Saccharomyces cerevisiae S288C: one gene and its partners. The gene in region 1 interacts genetically with each later gene. Each region holds a gene or a part of one and is shown in the gene's direction. Other genes may lie near its edges. The genes, in order: YOR131C, HAB1, CAL4 and PDC6.

Evidence for each region.
Region 2: mutations in YOR131C (region 1) and HAB1 together harm fitness more than expected from each alone (negative genetic interaction), as found in Saccharomyces cerevisiae (one large-scale study listed by BioGRID).
Region 3: mutations in YOR131C (region 1) and CAL4 together harm fitness more than expected from each alone (negative genetic interaction), as found in Saccharomyces cerevisiae (one large-scale study listed by BioGRID).
Region 4: mutations in YOR131C (region 1) and PDC6 together harm fitness more than expected from each alone (negative genetic interaction), as found in Saccharomyces cerevisiae (one large-scale study listed by BioGRID).

Annotation. Positions count from the first base shown.
Region 1 is NC_001147.6:571,677-574,705, reverse strand, and holds YOR131C (putative haloacid dehalogenase-like hydrolase), read left to right. Parts: upstream 1-1,867; coding exon 1,868-2,524; downstream 2,525-3,029. Other genes in the region: retromer subunit VPS17, read right to left, coding at 1-1,531.
Region 2 is NC_001134.8:772,274-774,859, forward strand, and holds HAB1 (Hab1p), read left to right. Parts: upstream 1-1,648; coding exon 1,649-2,083; downstream 2,084-2,586. Other genes in the region: YBR284W (metallo-dependent hydrolase superfamily protein), read left to right, coding at 1-1,359; APE3 (aminopeptidase Y), read left to right, coding at 2,427-2,586.
Region 3 is NC_001142.9:458,141-461,257, reverse strand, and holds CAL4 (Cal4p), read left to right. Parts: upstream 1-1,831; coding exon 1,832-2,617; downstream 2,618-3,117. Other genes in the region: GPI14 (glycosylphosphatidylinositol-alpha 1,4 mannosyltransferase I), read right to left, coding at 1-876; YJR012C (uncharacterized protein), read left to right, coding at 1,065-1,463; signal peptidase complex subunit SPC1, read left to right, coding at 2,897-3,117.
Region 4 is NC_001139.9:650,786-654,565, reverse strand, and holds PDC6 (indolepyruvate decarboxylase 6), read left to right. Parts: upstream 1-1,584; coding exon 1,585-3,276; downstream 3,277-3,780. UniProt on the Saccharomyces cerevisiae protein: Minor of three pyruvate decarboxylases (PDC1, PDC5, PDC6) implicated in the nonoxidative conversion of pyruvate to acetaldehyde and carbon dioxide during alcoholic fermentation.

The DNA of each region.
Region 1 (3,029 bases):
TCTTGTTGATGGGGATTTGACTTTTGCGGTTGCTCTCTCCCGTCCAACTGTCCCCTTTAAGGGTTTGAGAAGTATCGGAGTTGTTGTTTGAGACAGCATGGCGTCCTAGACGTGACAAACCTCCGTTTTCATCAGCTTTTCTGATATCAGAACGTACTCGTTCTAGTAACGTCAGCTTCTTTCTTTCATACTCTATCTTTCTTAGTGTAAATTCTTTGATCGAGCTTCTTATCCATTCTTCATACCAGCTAATCCACTGTTTTCTCTCGATAATCATGTTGGACGTGATTCGTTGAAGCTTAAGGGTCAAAACTTGTTCGTTTTTAGCTGCAGCTTTCAACTGACGTAGTGCTTCATCGATTTTCATAGGGTTAATATCTCTTCTTGACCGGAACCTGCGTGCTTGTTCCTGTTTCGCCTTTGAATTCTGCTGTGCCTGTACTAGATTTCGCATGATAAAATGCCTGTTGGTCAATGCTTCCTTCACGGCATAAGCATCTCTGACAATCCACTCTAAACCATCGTACAATGTCGCCATGTCCATGGTTGCTATAATGCTATCAATATCACCCACAGCAGTCAATATTTTACCGTATCTTCTGTAAAGTTTATTGTGCTCATCTAGATTAACGAAATCCTGGCCGAAGGCATTTTCTTCTTGAACCATCATCTTGCGATTTCTGGAAACTCTTAGCAGTTTTTCTTGCAAGCTCTGAGAAACAACATATATAGACTTGACTAATGGCCGGAATTCTGCTAATTCTGTGATTTCATCATATGGAGGTGCTAATTGTTTCAATGTTTTTCTTTTCAACCCAGATGCGAGTGATTTGGACTTGTTGATGGGTGTGTACGTATTAAAGTCACTTTCAATGAAAAAGGCCACTTCTTCATTCCGAATAATTAAGGGGTCTTGCGATAGCCTGTTAAACCAAAGTTGGAAATTTCGCGTTACTTTCATCCTATCTTCTTCGCTATTAATTCCGAATGTAGTATACGCAGAGGGAAGAGTAGGAACAAAAGATTCCTGAATGGCAACATTCAGATATTTGAACAATTGGTGGAATTCTTCGTATGATTTTTTGACATTCTTGTATTGTTGTTTGCGAAATGTTGGCAAATTTGTGGAGCAATCAAATATAATAGTCGGATTCTCTTTCTTACCGGTTGCAGATCCAAATCGTTCCAATCCTGTTACTTTTGCAAGTAGAGTGTATTTTTTTTTCTCATCACTTCTTTCAGGAAGTATAACACGTTCTGATGGTTGAGATGGTTGTTGGTTTTCATTGTGTTCGTTTGAAGTTTTTGATCGTGTTGCGTTTCCTTCTTCACCAAGACCATTTTGAATGTTATTTGCAGTTCCGTTGTCCTGAACGGAAGCTGCAGTTTGCTCAGTACCTACACGCTCCTCTGACATAGAAGATGATCCATCTGTGGTTGTTGCAGCAGGTTCAGAATCTTCCTCCTGGGGCTCAGCAAATGGATTGTTATCCAGATCATCATATGGATCATAAGGTACAGCCGAAGTCATTGTTCAGAGGATAGATGGATTGACTAAGGGTACAGTACGGCAAAAAAAAATTAGATCAGCTTTTCAAAACAAACTATTTTGGCGTTTACCAAAACCAAAACAGTATATTCAACTAGTTCAATCACTCTTGAAAACGTCCCCTTTCTACAAAATTAGGCTTTGAACGCGTGCTATGGAAAAAAGTGTAAAGAAAACGAAAAAACCAGAAAAGTCATATATATCTTATAACGAAATATCAGGGTGTTCGACTCAATCGCCAGGTGCCGCTAACACAATCATTAGGATAGTCGGGCAATATATACGGTTCAATAGTCACTGAAAGTGTATCACAGAATAATGACAAAGCTACAAGGACTACAGGGATTAAAACACATCAAAGCGGTTGTATTTGATATGGATGGCACATTATGCCTACCCCAGCCTTGGATGTTTCCAGCAATGAGAAACGCCATAGGATTGGAGGACAAATCGATTGATATCCTTCATTTCATTGATACATTGCCCACAGAAAAAGAAAAAAAAGAAGCGCATGATAGAATAGAATTAGTTGAGGCAAAAGCCATGAAGGAGATGCAACCGCAGCCTGGTCTGGTTGACATAATGAGGTATTTGACGAAAAATGGTATTAGCAAGAACATATGTACTAGAAATGTCGGAGCCCCGGTAGAGACTTTTGTTAAAAGATTTATTCCATCCGAGCTTTCGAGGTTTGACTATATTGTGACAAGGGAGTTTAGGCCTACAAAACCGCAACCAGACCCATTATTACACATCGCCTCGAAGCTAAATATAAGGCCCTTGGAAATGATCATGGTAGGAGATTCATTTGACGACATGAAATCCGGTAGATCTGCTGGATGTTTCACGGTATTACTCAAGAATCATGTGAATGGACATTTACTGCTCGAACATAAAGAACTAGTAGACGTTTCAGTAGAGGATCTTTCCGAAATAATTGAATTGATTCAAAATATGAATAAAGAAAGTTTCTAAAAAAAAAAAAACTTTACTTAGATATGTACATATGATTGAAATACCATTTTATTCTTAGATGTTTTTTAGAGCTAATATAGTAGCTATGGCGGAATTACCTTGATTTTTTCGGCATCACAAAGTTCGAGAACACATCAAATCAGCAAAAAAATCTCCGCGACGGGGAATTGAACCCCGATCTGGCACGCGACAAGCGCCCATTCTGACCATTAAACTATCACGGATTTTAATTGTTGGGTTAACGGTGTTTTTATTAATACTTGTTTCATATGATTTGAAAAAATAAAAAAATGTTGCAGCAAGTGATCATTAATGTCAATATAAATAATGATGGTAGCAAGATGAGTGTTTACGTTAATGTACATTTCATATACTGAGAAATAGGTGAATTTTCGGGATAATCGTTAGGATTTCATTATTGTTAAGGGCTATAATTTAGGTATATCGAATATACGAGAAGTTCTGCACGATGATATAGGGATCCATAAAGGGAACCAATATTTCT
Region 2 (2,586 bases), on another chromosome or scaffold:
TTTTTGGAGTGGTATAAAGTTATTTATCTCGCAAAATATCATTTGGTTAACGATGAAATGGAAATACACACAGGCTCACACGGTAAGCAGCTTCGATACTATTTGATTGCGAAAACATTTTTGGAGTTTGATAACTATATTAATGGTGAATACTTAGCGGAACTACTGAAAACGTTTTTAATAAAACCGCAAGAGGAGTCGAAATATCAGTTATGTCAACTCTCCGTGGACTTCCAATTTTATCTGCATTACGATAATTCCGATGTGGACAATTGGTGGATGGTCTTTGCCAATTGGCTGAACCACTATAATATATTTTCTAACAATATTCGCTGGAATATTCGCATTTCTAGAATTTATCCAGAACTGTATCATACTGGCAAGGTGAAGAATTTTCAGGAGTATTTAAATCTAATCTTCAAACCACTTTTCAATGCCGAAAATTATCTACACAAGTCATTAGGACCTATTCTTTTGAAATTTCTTTCTCAAGTATCTTCGATTGATCTATGTATTCAAGATACGGACAACTATATTTGGAAAAACTTCACAGCAGTTAGTTGCTTGCCAAAAGATTGGACATCTGGCGGTGATAATCCAACCATTTCACAATATATGTATTACGTCTACGTCAACCTAACAAAATTGAACCATATCCGCCAAGCCCTTCATCAAAATACCTTCACTTTGAGAAGTTCATGTTCTCCCACCTCAATGAATCGAACTTCACAGTTTAGTAATACACTGAACTTCACAGAACATACGGAAGCTATTTTAAACAATTTCTTGCTCGCCTGTGGAGGGTTTCTAAATGCAGAAAATCTCTGGAATGCACCACCATCACTGGTGTATCTTTTCTATCTAAGTCAAATTCCCATGGTTGTGGCGCCTTTGAATTCCATAGTAGATTCAAAGCCTACAATGCTGCAAGAACAAGCCCCGACGGGGCTTGTCCTAGAGCCCTCAAAGCCTTATAAGAAGAACCCTTTCATGAAGTTTTTTGAAATGGGGTTCAAGATATCGCTGAGCTCAGAATCTATCCTCTACAACAATTCGTATACGAAAGAACCCATTATAGAAGAGTATAGTGTAGCGGCTAGTATATACCGTTTACATTCAGCAGATTTATGCGAACTTCTAAGAAACAGTGTCATAACCAGTGGATTTTCAAGTACCCTAAAGAACAAATGGCTCGGCGTTTCCTTAGCCAGCCATGACTACTTCGTGGAAAACACTGGGTTTGTAGACAAGTGGTATGATTGTAAACCAAATACAAGTTTAGAGCATAACGTTCCGATCATCAGACGTCAATATCGCAGTAGCACTCTCGCAGGGGAGTGGCGACTCATAATTGCGTGAATTCGCTCATGTTTCTTCGAGGGGCGCATATTGTGACGCTAATATTATGTACCGCCCTTCCCCACACACACAAAAAAAAAAGGTTAAGGATAAAGATAAGTAAACTAATGGAATATATAAACAAATAAGTAAGTAGATACTGTAAATAGAACACACGTTTTTTAATTTATTTTTTTTTTTACATATCTTAATTTAATATAAATCAAAAAGCCCAAGCCTCAAACAAGAGTCTTATCACTCCATTTATAACATAACAATTCGAAATCTCTAAGCTCGCTTATAGTTGACAATGACCATATTTTCTAGGTTCTCATATTTTGATAGTCTATTCTCCTTTAAAAAGCAAGAGCCTTCCCCCATTGAAATAATCTATTGCAATGAAAACAATGGTTTCATAAACATAAAATCCTTAGAAAGCCCCACTGACGATAGCATGGAGGCGGACATTTCAGATAGAGAAATGGCTACAATCCTGACTAGAAACAGAAACAATTTGGGTAAGGTTGCCATTGATAAGAAAGGCGTTAATAATCATTGCATAGATTTGAATGAGCTGAAAAAGGGCCTTGTCGCCAATGAACACAAATTGGATAACGATAACTCAACACGGCACCAGAACACATATTCACCAGAGGATTCCGTGGAATTTGATAGGTTCGATGATAAACAAAGCAGAATACTAAAGTGTAGCACTAGAAGGAGCTACTTGAGATACAAGAAATAAGACAATTGAGCTGCTTCATTATATATCTTGATATAATCACCTTTCTTATCGTCAGAAAGAGTGTTCTCTATGTTTTTGTGCTTCCATAAATATATAGTTCAAAAAGTAATATCATATACTATTAATAATAAAAGTTATACTGAATATATTGATTAGTTCTATTAATTACTATTGACACACTTTGAATTCCCTTAAATTAACCCTCAGGAAGAAGGGGTCCTTAGGAAAATTTTTCTTTTTTCAATATAAAAGCGAGGAACAATGGATGGGAACAAAACCATGTTCAGCCTTTCAACAATTGGTAGAAGAAGCCAAAAAAAAAAAAAAAACAGAAACGCCAACCATGCACTTTTCTTTGAAGCAATTGGCTGTCGCTGCGTTTTACGCTACCAATTTAGGCTCTGCCTATGTCATTCCTCAATTCTTCCAGGAAGCCTTTCAACAAGAAGAGCCAATTGAGAATTATCTTCCGCAATTAAACGACGATGATAGCTCTGCCGTTG
Region 3 (3,117 bases), on another chromosome or scaffold:
CCTCAATAGGTTATCGAATGTGGGATTCCACCATTCAAGACATCCAGTTACTAAAACAAGCAGCAATTGAGGCACAAATGCGTACCTTGAGAGATTGGACTCACCATTTTCCTTATTTGCAGAATCTAAATACAATAGCATGTTCCACACTGAAAAATTGTGTCTGTGATCCGTTCTGTATAAGTGGTACAAGTATGCCTGATCCAGAAACTCGTATCCGTATATCTTGTACATTGCCCAACCACATCCAAGCAAAGTTGTTAGAGTACTCAAACCGATATTGAGTAGCGATGTAAGTTGTGTTCGTGGACCCTGGTTTCTTTTATTGTAGTATATAAAAATTGCTATTGGGATACAATATATGATTGGATATATTTTGAAATGGATAGAAAGACCATATAAGATTCCAGCTAGGGTGTATCTACTCTTTTGTAGAAAAAAAAGCGTGAACATGATCAAACAGCAAAGCACGCTTTCAGCGTTTCCCCTTGTACTGATGGTGATAACCATCGGATTCAATAGCCAAATGCTTTCCAATATTAAAGCTCTTTTTCTGGAGATGGCCTGGTTCAAAAGCTTCATTATAATGAGCCCAGTAACCAAATCGAAAATAACAAATATGACCTTCCCCAAATGAAACCATCCAAAATAATGATTAGGCACTAGCAGCCAACTTAGTAGCGGTGTGTAACGATATGTATCCCTTGCATAAGGTGATTTGCCTTCGTATACATATTTAGCAGCATCATGAAACACAAAATAGTCGATATCAGTGTACCTCACTTTGAAATTAGCGTCCTGGTAAATGCCAAAAAGAAAAAATCCGACTCTTACCAAGAATGACAGTACAGTCAAGCCCCATTCTTCGCCAGTCATCTTTCAACTTTATCACCTTTTACCTTGCTTGTCAGTTGTTGACTTTTTTATGTATATATATTGTGTTTTTTTTTGTCAAGTTCTTACCAACTATTAAAGTTTCTTTTATTATTATCGGAGCCTGTAAAAGAGCTCCACATGTTTCGGTTTACCTCTTGAAAATTGATTGCGAACATAACGAGTCAAGCATGGCAGCAGGTGGTGAACTTAGTTATGAAGAGTTGCTGGATCACATTCTGAATAACAAGCCTATACCTAATATTGTGGAGGTGCCCAATGTTACGCTGGATGAGGGTTTAGCTAGTACTCCTTCATTGAGGCCAAGACCTAGGCCTTGGGAAGGTCAGCTGCAGCATCAATCTCATCAAGGATCATTAGACAAACCCAATATATCTCTGGACATTGATCAAGAAAGCCTAGAAGGCATGACCTCATTAACAAGGCTGTCTGAATGTTACGATATACAGTCTAAGTTACAGATTAATGACAGTGACAACGATAATGATGACAATAACAATGATAACAATAAAGGCGATGGCAATGATGACGACAATAATACAGTAACAGCAAATCCAACAGCTAGGTAAATTATTCACCCAACAGGTATGTAAAAAAATGCATTTATATATTTATATATAGTACTATTATCTTCCCTTTTCTACTTAAATTTTATATCGCTCATTCATACTTAATCATAGACCTGCCCTTTTTGCGTTTAAAAGAATACAAAGGCACATGCATCTCCTTCTTTTGTCTGCATAATGTTTCTAACAAAGTTAGTGCGATATCTGTCGTTTTATCCTTTCCTTTTTATTAATTTCACAGTCTGATCTTTTATTGTGATTAGATAAGCGGCGTTGGTTTTAATTTCACGCTAGTTAAGTCAAAGCAGAATAGAGAATAGCTCTACAAGAAAAAGGACAAATAAGGTAACTGTGATAGCATATAAAGGCGTATGAGTGAAACACGAGAATCTAATGAAAGTACAGTTTCGTCTTTACAAACCAAACTTTTGCTCAATGACGGAATATCCGAAAACAACAAGAAAAATGTTATACTGCTGAATCAAATAGTGCCGTTTATTCTGAATACTTCACATTATATGACGGATCTAATGTATGTCTTGTATTATCTGGCTCAAAAGCAGGAAGACGAAGTATTAAACCATTCTGGCACATTTATTTCACACAAAAAAGAACTCCTTGCACTAAAGAGTGATATTTGTGAACTAATTTACGATTTAAGGACAGGATTCCGCTTATTATTGGATAGTTGTGAGTTAGATCACTTTGAAACTCCTGGAAAATGCCGGCATTTGATCGAGAAGGTTCTAGTCACCTCCATTTATGGAGTGAACAGGTATATTTTCCAGGAATTAAACAGATTAAATGTCGATTTTAAAGATGAATTTATATTACAAATGCAAAATTGTTTATCAGGATTCGTTAATCTCTACAAATTTTTGAACAAGATCCCTATGAGTAAACAACAGTCACAGATGAACGATTTACAGATGAAGATCTTAGTTAATGTGTTACAGAATGAATTGTTACCCATTTGGAAGTTTCAGTTAGATCTTTTGAATTGTAAACTATTTAACGAGCTCTCTAAGGATAAGGGCCTGATTAATATATATAGAAAAGCTACGAACGATAGTGTTATTGATGTTAGCAAGGGTGAACCATTCATCAGATATGTTAATTGGCTAAAGGACCAAATTATTGGTGAAATGACGGTTTAATGCAAGTAATGTAATATAATACAAGAGTATAAAAATAAGGTTCTACACAAACATCTATAAATGTATAGATTATACTAGTTTGGTTGGCTTCTTAGCGTTTCTCTCATCTACGTAAGATGAACGCCATGTGTACACTTTTCACATTTTAAATACATCTCGCGTGGAGGAGGGATAATAGAAACTATTTAGAGAAAAAAACGAGGCAGATTAAACGAAGTTACTCCAGGATTGGTCAAGCAATACTCAAACAAGATCAACGTCACGTCATAGTCAACTTCAATGTCTGAGATATTACAAGATGTACAAAGGAAACTGGTTTTTCCAATAGATTTTCCCAGCCAACGGAAAACAGAAAAATTTCAACAGCTATCGCTCATGATCGGAGCTTTGGTAGCGTGTATATTGGGATTTGCACAACAGTCCCTGAAAGTTTTACTGACTGCGTATGGCATTAGTTGTGTGATTACTTTAATATGTGTTTTGCCAGCTTACCCATGGTA
Region 4 (3,780 bases), on another chromosome or scaffold:
AACGACAAGATTGAGTTCTGGAATAGAGGTAAAGCAACGACTTCTTATACGTGTAGCAGTAGGGGATACGATAAATGCACAATGTGTCCAGGCTACGTCGAATCCTTACAAATTCTACCTGTTGAGGGAGTCGGGGGCATTATCGGCTAGGCTAGCCTGCAGCCAGAGGGTGAAGTGAACTATACTTTTTCAGCATACGAATAGTACTGGCAATGACAATAATAACCCTTCTGGATCGGCGACGTACTCATCATTGATAGGAGGAAACAATACGCAATTTCACCGCTTGGCCCCTTACCGGTGATCCCCTTGAAAAAGAGGGCCGTCCGCGGTCTTGGCTTAGGGTCTCTGTGAAAGCACGCAGGAGAGCTGCTCAACGCGGAATGGAGATAACGGAGGTTCTATCCCCATGTGCCTCGTCATCGGTTCCTCATCATCTCTGGCTTCTTGAATTCGTTTTATTGTCACCATACAATAAGTTTGACGTCGTGAAGGCAGTTTAGTTCTCGGACTTGCAACCCCTAATCTTCAACGTCGAAAATACCTTATGACGCATATTTTAATTTTCCATCTCGCAACTAATGCTACCCTATTTTCTCTTACCAGCGAACACAATTCAAAAATTCTTAATGTTTAGCAGCTCATGCTGATATCGTATTACTATTATTACTGTGGTCATGCTAAAAAGCTGACTTATTCAATTTAATTTTTTTCTTTTCTTTTATGTTTTGATAGACAAAGGTTTTTTTTTACCTAAAATTCCTCTTTCCTCACGGACCATACGATTAAAATCATGGAAATTAAGTATTACAGTCGGTAATTTCTTTCTGGTTTTGTAAAGCCTGAAAAAATATACTAATATAGTGCAGGCGATCGTACATCTTCCAAGCATCTCATAAACCTATGCACTGTGGATTCTATGTACTTGGCAATAGATGAGCATTTCAATGAAGGAAACGCCTGAGTCAGTTATGTAAAAAGTACTACGTACGGACCAATCGAAGTGTGTAAGAGAATGTGACATCAATTGTTGTTGCATTATGTCCATTGGAATATGCAGATCGGCTGTGGCATTTGGCCAAAATGTTATAGAGTTCACACCTTATTCACATACTTTTTCATTTTCTGTGGCTTTCAAGGGTGGGGGCGGTAGTGATAACCATTCTCTAAACAAAAGCCCATGTCCCACACCAAAGGATGTTTTTTTATATCACGTTCCCTTTTCATAAAACACAAAAGAACGAATACTTTTTAAGCCGAATGAGTGACAGAAAAAGCCCACAACTTATCAAGTGATATTGAACAAAGGGCGAAACTTCGCAAAAAAAAAAAAAAAAGAAAAAGATAGTGTAGTAGTGATAAACTGGTGCTTCAATTTCTTTTTATGAATTGATCTGTATCTGCACCTAGATCGATTTGATTACAGGATAAGGGATATGGTGCGATTCGCGAGCTTTTACCAATATGTATAAAAGGCGGCTGTTTGAAGCCATTCTATCTTAATCTTGTGCTATTGCAGTCCTCTTTTATATACAGTATAAATAAAAAACCCACGTAATATAGCAAAAACATATTGCCAACAAAATGTCTGAAATTACTCTTGGAAAATACTTATTTGAAAGATTGAAGCAAGTTAATGTTAACACCATTTTTGGGCTACCAGGCGACTTCAACTTGTCCCTATTGGACAAGATTTACGAGGTAGATGGATTGAGATGGGCTGGTAATGCAAATGAGCTGAACGCCGCCTATGCCGCCGATGGTTACGCACGCATCAAGGGTTTATCTGTGCTGGTAACTACTTTTGGCGTAGGTGAATTATCCGCCTTGAATGGTATTGCAGGATCGTATGCAGAACACGTCGGTGTACTGCATGTTGTTGGTGTCCCCTCTATCTCCGCTCAGGCTAAGCAATTGTTGTTGCATCATACCTTGGGTAACGGTGATTTTACCGTTTTTCACAGAATGTCCGCCAATATCTCAGAAACTACATCAATGATTACAGACATTGCTACAGCCCCTTCAGAAATCGATAGGTTGATCAGGACAACATTTATAACACAAAGGCCTAGCTACTTGGGGTTGCCAGCGAATTTGGTAGATCTAAAGGTTCCTGGTTCTCTTTTGGAAAAACCGATTGATCTATCATTAAAACCTAACGATCCCGAAGCTGAAAAGGAAGTTATTGATACCGTACTAGAATTGATCCAGAATTCGAAAAACCCTGTTATACTATCGGATGCCTGTGCTTCTAGGCACAACGTTAAAAAAGAAACCCAGAAGTTAATTGATTTGACGCAATTCCCAGCTTTTGTGACACCTCTAGGTAAAGGGTCAATAGATGAACAGCATCCCAGATATGGCGGTGTTTATGTGGGAACGCTGTCCAAACAAGACGTGAAACAGGCCGTTGAGTCGGCTGATTTGATCCTTTCGGTCGGTGCTTTGCTCTCTGATTTTAACACAGGTTCGTTTTCCTACTCCTACAAGACTAAAAATGTAGTGGAGTTTCATTCCGATTACGTAAAGGTGAAGAACGCTACGTTCCTCGGTGTACAAATGAAATTTGCACTACAAAACTTACTGAAGGTTATTCCCGATGTTGTTAAGGGCTACAAGAGCGTTCCCGTACCAACCAAAACTCCCGCAAACAAAGGTGTACCTGCTAGCACGCCCTTGAAACAAGAGTGGTTGTGGAACGAATTGTCCAAATTCTTGCAAGAAGGTGATGTTATCATTTCCGAGACCGGCACGTCTGCCTTCGGTATCAATCAAACTATCTTTCCTAAGGACGCCTACGGTATCTCGCAGGTGTTGTGGGGGTCCATCGGTTTTACAACAGGAGCAACTTTAGGTGCTGCCTTTGCCGCTGAGGAGATTGACCCCAACAAGAGAGTCATCTTATTCATAGGTGACGGGTCTTTGCAGTTAACCGTCCAAGAAATCTCCACCATGATCAGATGGGGGTTAAAGCCGTATCTTTTTGTCCTTAACAACGACGGCTACACTATCGAAAAGCTGATTCATGGGCCTCACGCAGAGTACAACGAAATCCAGACCTGGGATCACCTCGCCCTGTTGCCCGCATTTGGTGCGAAAAAGTACGAAAATCACAAGATCGCCACTACGGGTGAGTGGGATGCCTTAACCACTGATTCAGAGTTCCAGAAAAACTCGGTGATCAGACTAATTGAACTGAAACTGCCCGTCTTTGATGCTCCGGAAAGTTTGATCAAACAAGCGCAATTGACTGCCGCTACAAATGCCAAACAATAAGCCATTAGTAGTGTACTCAAACGAATTATTGTTGCAAATAAATAAACTTACACAGTTTGAATACATAAATCAATCAGACAAATAAATACATCGGTTCAAATTATACTAAATCTAAATACTACGTTATCGCCGTGAATTACGCAATTCGCATGTTACGTACTGCGCGTCTCTTGTTGAATATTTACCAATTGGGAAAAAGAACTCGTATTTCATTCCCCTTTTTGGAAAGGGGTGGGGAGAGACTGTTGTTCAGCCACGTCAATTATTATTTTTTCTTTGGCCCTGCGCTTGTCTTATAAAATTCCGCAGCCGCCTCTTATTTTTTTTTTTTTCGATTTTTGGCCCACAGGTCATATTGCAAAAACCGAATGGCCGCGCCCCCCTCACGCACGGGACGGAAGAAGGGCGGCGTCCCCTGTTTTTCTGCTTTGGCTCATCTCTTTGGCTCCGACGGACGAAAGACGGGATTCCCCCTCCCGTGTCTTTTTATAAATAACAAGTGCT